3 linked regions of the Daphnia pulex genome follow. The protein of the gene in region 1 interacts with the protein of each later gene in a pairwise test. Links are inferred from orthologs where the notes say so. Each region holds a gene or a part of one and is shown on either strand. Other genes may lie near its edges.

Evidence for each region.
Region 2: the proteins of mediator of RNA polymerase II transcription subunit 31-A-like (region 1) and methanethiol oxidase-like interact in a two-hybrid assay, tested with the Homo sapiens proteins (2 studies listed by BioGRID and IntAct). The link is inferred for Daphnia pulex from reciprocal best matches to the Homo sapiens genes MED31 and SELENBP1.
Region 3: the proteins of mediator of RNA polymerase II transcription subunit 31-A-like (region 1) and huntingtin-like interact in binary tests that used the Homo sapiens proteins (3 or more experiments, as listed by UniProt). The link is inferred for Daphnia pulex from reciprocal best matches to the Homo sapiens genes MED31 and HTT.

The regions. Positions count from the first base shown.
Region 1 is NC_060024.1:13,245,114-13,247,910, reverse strand, and holds mediator of RNA polymerase II transcription subunit 31-A-like, read left to right. Parts: upstream 1-1,351; 5' UTR 1,352-1,492; coding exon 1,493-1,505; intron 1,506-1,583; coding exon 1,584-1,664; intron 1,665-1,721; coding exon 1,722-1,818; intron 1,819-1,877; coding exon 1,878-2,088; 3' UTR 2,089-2,176; downstream 2,177-2,797. Other genes in the region: 2-oxo-4-hydroxy-4-carboxy-5-ureidoimidazoline decarboxylase-like, read right to left, coding at 2,321-2,516, 2,589-2,742. UniProt on the Homo sapiens protein: Component of the Mediator complex, a coactivator involved in the regulated transcription of nearly all RNA polymerase II-dependent genes.
Region 2 is NC_060020.1:6,012,888-6,017,329, forward strand, and holds methanethiol oxidase-like, read left to right. Parts: upstream 1-1,610; 5' UTR 1,611-1,778; coding exon 1,779-1,785; intron 1,786-1,953; exon of another isoform or gene 1,954-2,058; coding exon 2,059-2,228; exon of another isoform or gene 2,229-2,299; coding exon 2,300-2,485; exon of another isoform or gene 2,486-2,548; coding exon 2,549-2,708; exon of another isoform or gene 2,709-2,772; coding exon 2,773-2,840; exon of another isoform or gene 2,841-2,912; coding exon 2,913-2,979; intron 2,980-3,040; exon of another isoform or gene 3,041-3,054; coding exon 3,055-3,220; intron 3,221-3,285; exon of another isoform or gene 3,286-3,294; coding exon 3,295-3,455; exon of another isoform or gene 3,456-3,517; coding exon 3,518-3,639; exon of another isoform or gene 3,640-3,716; coding exon 3,717-3,856; exon of another isoform or gene 3,857-3,926; coding exon 3,927-4,049; exon of another isoform or gene 4,050-4,118; coding exon 4,119-4,158; 3' UTR 4,159-4,299; downstream 4,300-4,442. Other genes in the region: dihydroxyacetone phosphate acyltransferase-like, read right to left, coding at 1-83, 146-190, 250-622, 706-927. UniProt on the Homo sapiens protein: Catalyzes the oxidation of methanethiol, an organosulfur compound known to be produced in substantial amounts by gut bacteria. Selenium-binding protein which may be involved in the sensing of reactive xenobiotics in the cytoplasm.
Region 3 is NC_060020.1:1,047,194-1,050,849, reverse strand, and holds part of huntingtin-like, read right to left. Parts: coding exon 3,487-3,656; intron 3,425-3,486; coding exon 3,320-3,424; intron 3,265-3,319; coding exon 3,075-3,264; intron 2,995-3,074; coding exon 2,676-2,994; intron 2,615-2,675; coding exon 2,494-2,614; intron 2,434-2,493; coding exon 2,248-2,433; intron 2,182-2,247; coding exon 2,058-2,181; intron 1,997-2,057; coding exon 1,878-1,996; intron 1,808-1,877; coding exon 1,576-1,807; intron 1,509-1,575; coding exon 1,311-1,508; intron 1,248-1,310; coding exon 1,060-1,247; intron 991-1,059; coding exon 804-990; intron 741-803; coding exon 593-740; intron 530-592; coding exon 445-529; intron 370-444; coding exon 207-369; intron 133-206; coding exon 1-132.

The sequences.
Region 1 (2,797 bases):
AACAGTTGCCGAAAGTATAGAGACGAGGCGGAGTCAGTTTTTGGGCATTGTCCGTCGCACGTGCCACCGCCCACCGGTTCGTCTACCTAGTGGCAAAAGCGTTATTAATATGGCGGGGAAATGTAATGAGAATCTTTTCCACGAAAATTTGAAACTCCTCAGGTAAAAAAAAAAAAGGCTGATATGGGTCAGGCAATAAGCGGCAGGTGATTGATAAAAGCCCACACTGCCTCAGCAACAGCTGGATCATTTTTGTCATGTCACGCCACCTGTTGCTACCTACGCTCTACTGAATTCTGTGCTATCAATGATGGAATATTACTCCATCATTTATCCCGGACCGACGGCAGAAATCCGCGTTGAATCTATTTGTTACTCCAATCACGTCACTTTGCTGATTGAACTTATAATCATAGAAGAGTGGAATTTCAAGCACGATTATTAGATAATACCAGGGAATTAAGATTGATACGTTCATCCTCTTGATTGTCGCATGGTCTACCGGAAAACTCGGGGCCGTAGGTGAGAACCAACCATTATACATCCGCCGAGTGCGCAGGAGGATGGCTACGTAGTATAGACCTACCACATGTACAATACGTGAATATGCACTCAGACATGATACACCGCCCTCACGGCCGCGTGCATTATCCGGATGTCACGTATACACGGAGTAGATATGACACTTTAAGATGATATTTCTGACCTATACATGGTAGAATGCTATCGCCCCCGCACCGGATATCCGATCAAAAGTGGCGAAAATAAGAACAAAAGTCAAAGAAAAATTTCAACAGATTTCGTTTGGGTTGAATATTTTTGATTAGCCTACTTTCAAATATTTCCGTTCTGGAAAAGGACGATAAAATAGTAACGGAGGCGTAGAATGTCGCATATGTGAAACAACTGGAAATCACACGGTAATATATTCCATCTTTTTATTTTTCCGTTCGCCTTTCCTGCTGAATTCATAATTTTTCTGATTTGACTTTTTTATTTTGGTATTTTTGTTTTTCAACTCCATATTCCATCTAAATTCTTCTATTGATCTTACCTCCTACAGGAAAATAAAATAACTCACGGTGCAAACTGAAGTTAGTATAGTCTAGCCGTCTAGCCTATCAGCTGCGGCTTCATGGTTTATTAGGGTCCTACGGCGCAGCGCAACCGCAAAATGTTATCCAAATTCGGAAATCAAACTGTGTGATAAGGCCACCACACACATTAATAAATTGTGGGCATGAAATTTGAAATCGTTTTAATTTTTTTTTTATTTTGTAAAAATTTTTTTAAGTTAATTCAATTTTTAATATTTTCTCGATTTCTTTCTAGATGGCATCAATTGATCAAGCAGACGACAAATTGCAAAAGTTGACGCTTTCCAATTTCCATTTCAAGTTGTTGTCTGACGTTTCCATTCTGTCCGGTTGCCTCGTTTCTAGATTTCCAAAACTGTTGAAGCAAACTACGTTATTTCGTTGTTTGCTTCGCAATGAGCACCAGAGGTAAATATATCGTGAAGTGTAGTCGTTTTCAATACAGATTCTCATTGCTATGTTATTATTCCTTTTTCCGATGGGTAGAAACTGATGAACAACAAAGGATTCGATTTCAGGTGGAACTAGAATTTGTGCAATGTTTCGCAAATCCAAATTATCTGCACTGTAAGTATTTGGTCTATTTTTAAAATCAACACTTTCATTATGCCTTGTTTACACTAGTCCTTGCTCAACGTGGCTATTTTAAGGATCCGGCGTTTGTCAACTACATCAAGTATTTACAGTATTGGAAGGAGCCTGCTTATGCAAAATATTTGAAGTACACCAATTCACTTGCAATTTACCCTAACTAGAAATTACAATTTCATTATTTTCCAGGTACCCAATGTGTTTGCATTTCCTAGACTTGCTTCAATATGAGCATTTCAGAAAGGAGGTTGTGAATGGCCAGTGTGCTCGCTTCATTGATGATCAACAAATCCTTCACTGGCAACATTACACTAGAAAGAGGGTTCGTCTTCTTCAAAGTCAAGCTGAGAAGCACATGATGACTGTTCAGAATGAGCCAACACCCCAGAAAAGTGTTTGATTCATGATAATTATTGTTTAAGGAACTTTTTAAACTTCTCTTATATTGGGCAAGTATATGCAAGACAATATAGACAAATTTTTGTAAATTGCTGTATTTTGTGTTGAGTTTTTGCAAACTACCAGACAAAATGTTAACAACACATATGTTTTGGAAGACTTGTTTTGAGTGAGAATGTTTAGAATGGAATAGCTGCTGTTGACCTCAACTGATGGGAGCGAGTGGAAAATCTCTACATATTACGAGATTTGTCATCAGTTACTATACTCAACAACCTCAAAAGGCAGATTTTCTTCACTTCTTCAATCCCAATGTTTAGTTCTTCAGCAGCTGAGTGTTCCAATCTCTCAACTATTCCTTTCAAGATTGCTTCCTTCTTGTTCTGCCTGGCACAGATAACAAAAGGAAATCCAAACTTTTCTCTGTATCTATTAAAATAATAGCCCAAAAGACACAGCTCATTAGTTACTATATAGTTATAGAACAGTAATTTGTCATACTTGATGTTGGTCTCTCCTAGCAGTTGTTTTTCACCAGGTGTCATTGTGTCTAAACCAGCAGCTTTCTGTTCAGCAGTACTCTCCTGTGTTAGGCTGCCAAGTTCAGCTAGCCTGCCAGCCAAATCAGGGTGAAGTCTTAGCACCCCCTCTTTACCTATCAAATGAGAAAACAAATGTTCAATTGATTGGCTATAAATAAGCATTCAAGC
Region 2 (4,442 bases), on another chromosome or scaffold:
CTTGATGTGGTATTGAATGTACTGAGAAACCACAGCCCAATAAAGTTGGTCATGACCAAACGAGCGTCTGATGTAAAAAGCACCTAAAATAAATGTATAAATAGTTCAAACATGTACTTTTTCTAAAGACTTCGCTACATTGTACCCGCGTTTTGCAGCACACGATTCACAAATTTCATTCCTTTAAAATCTGAAACAAACATAAAGTTGTAAACATCGTAGCCGAAAGAAAAAGAACTATACGTATACCCATTCCCGCGGCAATAACAGGAAGAGGGATATCCATAGTATAGCAAAGATATGATATTAGCAGAAAATCTGCATAGCTTCTATGTGTGGGTAAGATTAAAACAGGTCCTTCAGACATTGCCTTACTGAGCTGTGATAAAAAAAAATATTGGATTTCATTTAAGAAATAAAATATGAGTTTTTTTACCTTCAGGACAGCAGAGTTGTTAATTGCTACACCTTGATATAAATTTCTCAGCAGCTTAGCAAGGAAAAAACCAATTACACGGATAGTACCAAGACTGTATGTATGACCCATTTCCTCCAAAATGGTTTTGATTTGGACAACAATGTTTTCATAGCTGTTTACACCATTATGACCTTCAAGGAGAAGCTGTAAGAATAAAATTGATTAAAAAGGCAAAAAAAAATGCTGAAATCAGCAGTTAAGACTTAAGATAAAGGGTATTCTATTACTTGATGAATGACGTCTTTCATACGTGGACTTTCAAGTATACTATCAGCAATAAACTTGGTTGCTTCAGGATGTAAGTTAGGCTTAGGTCTCCAAAATTTAAGGCAAAAGAATGCATCAAATTGATACTTTTGCTTTTCCACAATATCAACATAATCTTTTACTGTGAACCTTGAGGGATCGGTTGTAGCCATATCTTTCTTCTCAATATCAATGGATTCCATTTTTTCTAAAACTTATCACGACAATTTTATTTGTAACACTACACTATTTTCATATCTAATATCAGAGTCGGCAGTAACTTCTGCCAAGTACTTCTTTACAGTTCTGTCATGTTTACAGACCAAACAGGGACTGACATTTTAAAACCTGTAGGCACTGGGCATGCTCTAGGCGATAACTTTCACCGTGTTCGGCTTAGCTGCCAGATCTGGTATTATTATCGCAAAAGCTATAAAACATCATTAATAAATTTTAAAAATTATTTTTTTGTGCAACAAGCCGATAACACAGTGACCTGACCTTATCTTAAGATTGTCATTAAACTGAAACAAATTTAAACAACCTGAAATTCAAGTACGAACGTAATTTATTGAATTTCAATGGTTTTCAATTTATTAATATTCTTGCGTAGATAATTATTTTTCTCCAAAGACAGCTAGCTTCTAGCTAGTTTCCTTTAAGAAAATAAGACATTTTTAAAAATTTTATGATCGCTATTCTATTTCACTTTCGAATTCACTTCGGAAAAAAATAATCATAAACCTACAGTTCATGGACAACGAAAACTCAAGAAAGTTTATATAACGATAACATATGCGATAGTGAAAGCCTATGTTGTTTGCGTTGTTTGTTCCGCTTAAACCAAAATAAGAGAGTTTCGTGTTTAATACTTGGCCGCTAGTAGCGCTGTTTATACTAGACAACAGTTTTTACTCTTATGTCAGGTTGGTATGCTTATCACGACGAACGGGATTCTTAGTCGACGACTAGATTATATTTACAACCACCACCAAGACTATCTCTACCACCACCAAATCTTTCTCAGCTAGTCGGCTTTAGTTTACATAGCATTATGGAAGGTAAATTCTTATCCATGTTTAAAGTACTACGTAAACCCCACGCCCATGAGCCTCAAATCCACATGTCATTAATCGGCCGCTTACTGTCTCACGTCACTTATTGTCAATTTACAGTGGAACAGACCGACATAAGTTAGATTCCATGTTCAACTGAATGACTACGTGATAACAAATGCTGCTTTGTTTAATTAAGAAATAACGAAATATAGGCCACATGTACAACACTAGCATTGAAGCCTGACATTAAATGATAATTGAATTGAAAATGTCTAGACGGAGGAAGTAAGTGCTGCGCTTGCGGTCCCGGCTATGCTTCGCCTCTCGAAGCTACAAAAGCCTCCCCGGAAAAACTTTTGTACATAACATGCATCCAAGGGGAAAAGGGGAAACATGATTACGTGGCCACGATTGATGTTGATCCAAGCAGCCCAACGTATAGTCAAGTGAATAAATGTCTAAACGTTAATTGAAAACTTTAGGCACACTGATTTTTTGGGGAATTTTCTAATGTTAGGTAATTCACCGAACGATTATGCCTTATGCGAACGACGAATTGCATCACAGTGGTTGGAATTCCTGCAGTAGTTGCTACGACGATCCTTCGCAGAAACGCGATAACCTCGTTGTCGCAGGACTAATTAGCGACCGAATTTATGTGATCGATGTTGCCAAAAACCCCAGAGCTCCTGAAATTCTAAAGGTATTATTAACGATCGTGGTTTTCTTTCAAATCTTTAATGTACGATTGATTTTGGCTGAGTAGGTTATTGAGCCTAAAGAAATGCATGACCTGGATCTCAGTGCGCCACATACTCTTCATTGCTTAGCCGACGGTAATGTAATGGTGTCGTCAATGGGTAACGCAAAGAGGGAAGCAAAAGGATCATTCTTCTTGATTGATACAAAGGAATGGAAGATTAAAGGTACATCAATAGATTCTCGTTTTTTTCATTATACGCATACCTATAAACATTATTGGATGCGAAGGTTTGTGGAGTGAAGATTCCACGAATTTTGGTTACGACTTTTGGTATCAGCCGCGTCATAATGTCATGGTTCGTAAAGCTTTATTTTTTTAGCTTTCTAAATGTACGATGTACAATAATTTTTTTAATGTTGTGTGTTAGATCTCTTCCGAGTGGGGTTCTCCGTCGGCTTTTTGCACTGGATTTTCCTTGGATCACGTGTCTGCAGGTATATAATAAACCACAATTACGTCATACATTTAAATAACCGTGCAAATTGTCTAACTCACCTTCTGAAATTTAGGCATGTATGGCCAATCTCTGCATGTGTGGGACTGGAAAGAACATAAGAAAATTCAGACCTTGGACTTGGGTAGTGAGGGATTGATGCCTCTTGAAATTCGTTTCCTTCACGAACCGACTGCCACAACTGGATTCGTGGGCTGCGCTTTGACCGCCAACGTCTTCCGGTATGAATACAAAATGTCCCTGATATCAGCCATAAAGTTCTTACCATATTTCTTACTAAACTTACTACTTGTAGTTTTCATCAGTTGGAAGACGGTAAATGGGCGGCGGATAAAGTTATCGATGTGCCGTCGTGGAAAGTCTCCAACTGGGCTCTGCCGTCCATGCCTGGAATAATCACCGACATACTTATTTCTATGGACGATCGTTTTCTCTATCTCTCCAACTGGGTGCAAGGTATCAGGGTTGTTGTTCTTATATCTTGTAATGAATCATTAATTGTAGGGTGATTTCTTCAGGTGACATACGGCAGTATGACATCAGCGACCCAGCCCACCCCAAGCTAGTAGGGCAGATCTACGTTGGCGGAAGCGCCGTGAGTGGAGGGGGCGTAACCATCTTAGAAGACAATGTCAAAGCGGTTGGCAGCATATTCTTCTTTCTTATTAAATTTGGCTCTGTCCCAGTGGACATTGAATAATTGAATTTAATTAACAGCCAGAACCGTTGGTAGTGAATGGGAAGCGATTCCACGGTGGGCCTCAGATGCTCCAGCTCTCCCTCGATGGCCGGAGATTATACGTTACCACGTCACTTTTCAGTCCATGGGACCGTCAATTTTATCCGGATATGGTCGAGTGCGTTTTTTTCTATAAGAAAATCAACTCGTCCCCCAATCGTATTTAATTAGTTCTTAATCGCATTTAGAAAAGGATCCGTTCTGCTACAGATTGACGTGGACGTCAATGTTGGCGGCCTCAAGATTAATCCAAAACTAATGGTCGATTTTGGAGCGGAGCCAGACGGCCCAGTTCTTGCTCACGAAATTCGGTATGTAAGCTGTGTCGCTCCAATGCCAATCTAGCTGCATTTTGATTGAAATTGCTTGGCTAATAACAGATATCCCGGTGGCGACTGCAGTTCGGACATTTGGCTCTGAAATGGTCATCGTCTAAACGTTACTTGTGCTGCCCAAGTTCGGACGACGTCATATTATACACTGTACAATAGCGTAGCATCAAATCTGGAATAGCAATCAAATTGGAGAGCCGGCTCATAAATACACATGGTTTCAGTTGGACCGTTTTGCGATAGTTTATTCTCAGTGATGAAGCATTGACGTCCTCCAGGATGGAAGAGGGGTTCAATTTGAGAGCCCGCTGATTGGTCTCTATATAGAAGTCGGCTTCGTCTCTTTTGCCCAATGGAGCGTGTAGTCGACGC
Region 3 (3,656 bases), on another chromosome or scaffold:
GAAAAAACATAAAATATTCCAGATCGAATCATTCGCTGTGTCGCTAGGCGTCCTGGTAAAATTGCTGAGGCTTAAGAGAATCCACTCCATGACTAAACTTTGTTGTCCTTGAGTACGTGCCGTTCCAAAAACCTGAATGAATTAACCAGAGAGTAAACATCTTGGCAGTTGACAATGCCACACAAATTCTACGTTCCACGACTTACTTTGAAAATGGTTGGAGTTAAACAACAGGCAACTGTGGGTCTTGCCGTTATAAATTCACTTAAAATACGATTCAAGATGTCTGCTGGTGGGAAAATATCACAGGTTATGACGGGCATAATTCGCCCCAAAAGCTCCGCCTCTAGATCTGTTCCGCGCTTCATTCTGAGGAAATGGAAAATTAAGAAACAGATACAAATTAATAACTAAGTAAACAAGAATCATCTTATTCAGCTTTACCGTTGGAACAGGGCGCCCACCCATTCCATAGCGGCGAGCATCGTTTCAGGATCTGCTCCAGGTTTATACAATTGGCTACCAAAATCTTGAAAAAGTAAATATTGGTTTGAGAGGAGTGAAAAAACAGAGTCAGCATGAAACCCTATACCTGAATAGACTAATGACAGCAGAGTTCGTAGTGCTGGCTGTAGAATCCAATCACAATCAACATTGCGTATTAAATTGAGAACCTCTTTTTTAACTTGCGTTCGCCAAATCGGAGTCAATACGCCTAGAATGCTCAGCCGTTCTAATCCCTATAACGAATCAATAACGAGATTAGCCTACAACATAAGATCTTCAATAAATTCACGAAATACCTGTAAAATTTCTTTTGGGATCTCGTTTGATTGTTGTTCGTTTTGCACAAGCCTACTAAGAGCGCACTGAACAACAAAATCGACGACAGCATAATTCTGATAGGGCAATACTGCAAAATGTTCGCCGCAATAGAACGCTATTGACCAAACGAAGGACTGATGCCAGGTCGGACCATTGTGTTCAGGGCTTAATATGATATTTCAAATAAATAAACAGACAAATTTCTTTAAACGTAAAGAGATGAATCACACCAACCTGAGACATTTACCGACATAATCCATAGCCAGGTTGACGAGAGTGCCTGTACGAGCAAGATCTGGATTTCTGGCAAACTTTTGAAGTAGATACAAAAGACCATTTAATCCACTAGTTCGCGTGGAAATATGCTGGGAATTCAATGCGGTTTCACAGTGCTTTTTTACTAATTCCCAGTATTCCATATTCTGAGACATGAAAAAATAACAATACATTATCACAAAACTTCAGATTTCAGATGAATTTTGTACCATGGGTATAAAAGAAGCAGATTTCAAGATGCACCCTACTAAAGCGGACTCTAAGCTCGCAGGATCATCAGGAAGAAGTTGCCTGTGTAAGGTTAAGGAGTTATCCAGCATCCACTCAAACTGTTGAACATCGACAAAGAAGTTTGATATGTGCACTAGGGATTGAAACAAGTCCACTAGCAGCGGGTACGGCGTATTCTTGAGAAAAAAAAAGAAAATGTTGAAGAAAAATATCATTATTTTCTACATAGAAGATTAAGGTTACCGAATTCTGAAGCCACTGTGAGTAGAGATCCACTAAGAAGCGAACACAGGATTGGATATCTATATCTGTAACATCTTCGGGACTAGTAGCCTTCTTTTTGGATGGTGAACCTTGATCAATATTATATTGAATGTGTCTGAAGGAGTGACGATTGAGCCAATAACTGCAGGAAGATGATATCGTGTAATCTTCTTCTAGCAAATTGCAGAGTTCTTTCAGCTTCTTGCCCCTTCTACAATATCCATTAAAAATATTGACAATTAGCTATAATTAAGCGAGATTAAATAACACATTGGCTTTACTCAGTTGACGTGAACTCAGGAGGCTTGTCTAGTTCATTATTTTTCACAGATCTTGGCGTCTTAAATGGTAGATTTTTTTGAAGCACCATTGTAAGAGCTCGCACGGCTTCACATGTAGCCTTTGAATTCAAATGGTTTTTCAAAAATTGTAAGAAAAAATTACCAACTCTGTTATGATACCTGGATGACGCTTGCTTGTTCTTCGGGTCTCACTTGATCCTCATTGTGTAAGTTCAAAATGCCAAGAAAAGTCATCCAAATTTCTTCAAATTTCTTTTTGGTAATCCAGCTAATTTGCTCGATTCTTTAAGAATAAGTAAGCAGTCAGCATGATCCAAGATCCATTTATAAGAAAATGTCCCAAAATTACCGGAAAACGAATTCTTTTAAAACAACTTCATCATGCAGAAAATGTGAAGGGATTATTGGTAGATCCAATGTGATATGTTCGACATCCAAATTTAGCTCAGGATTCCAGCCTTTGCTCCAAGCGGATGGCGGAATGCAAATATAGGAATAGAAGAGTGGCATTCGACAAAACACAGTAACAGTCGACCTGAAAATAGTAGAAAAATCTTAATGAATTGATTTATCAATATTCAGAAATACAATTTACAGTAAGTCTTGATGAAGTATTCCTGGAATGTTTGATTCTTGTTCGATAAATCTAAGTATTCGGTTTAATTGTTTCGCACTCGAAACAAAGTTTGGATCAGGACAAATCATTTGCTCCAGGCCTAAATGAAAATTCGTTCGTTATCAAATCTTCAACTAAAGAAGACAATTTAGGATATTTACCGGTAATAGTAGGTTGTTCTAGAGTTGCATTGTTTCTTATCCGAATGCAAAGAGACTCCAAACAATGGATTGCCTTGTAAACAGCCGGTAGATTCTCTTTGTCTGTCCATTCAATTGCAAGTTCACGCCCAAATATGGAAACAATCTCAGAGGACGCCTGTAGAAGAACTAACGAATGGGAAAGCGAATCCATCGCACCAATTAAGGTAAGCGGTGTTTTAGCCAATATGGTGATTTCGGATGCAGTGAAAATATCGTTGACCTCCGATGGTGAGATGGATTTGCACAATGCACTGAGAATATGAGCGATTGACAGGATCTAATGGAAAAAAATGAGATGCTCATTTCATAAAAAGATAAAACCGTTCAAAAAATTAATAGCATCCGAAATCGGCGTACCTTAGAGTTGTCGAAGGCTTCGGCGGTAATCATATTTAAAAGGTATGCCTTGGCATGGTAAAAAGCATCATATTTCAATATTCGACTTCCAAGGACATATAAAAGGAAACTATGATTGCTGCACAATAACGGAAAGTCGTCTGTGTTTGTCTGAGCGACGATTTCTCTCCACATTAAAGGTTCTAACTCCCTAAATTATGAAGACGATTTAGCAAGATAAAACCAGAAAATAATTTTTAAACCACCTTTTCAACGCAAAATCCAGCACAAACGCCTTGTCGATATCTCGCAACATGCTAGACCTATTTTCAAAGGTAGCGCTTGGAACTGCTGTGATCTCGGAATACCATCTAAAAAAGAAAATTGAAGATGTCATAAAACGTAGGATAGTAGGTGGGCGAGTGCCAAGAACCTTTGATTAGCTGACTGAAGAACGATTTTTTGTACATTTTCCAAACAACGAAGCTTAGATTCAGAAGAAGTGAAATTTGCGTTTAGAACAAGTTTGCACATTCTTCTGTGCACAATGCCACTGGAAATTGTCTGAAAACTGGAAATGATATGTAAAAGAATCGCTTCCGA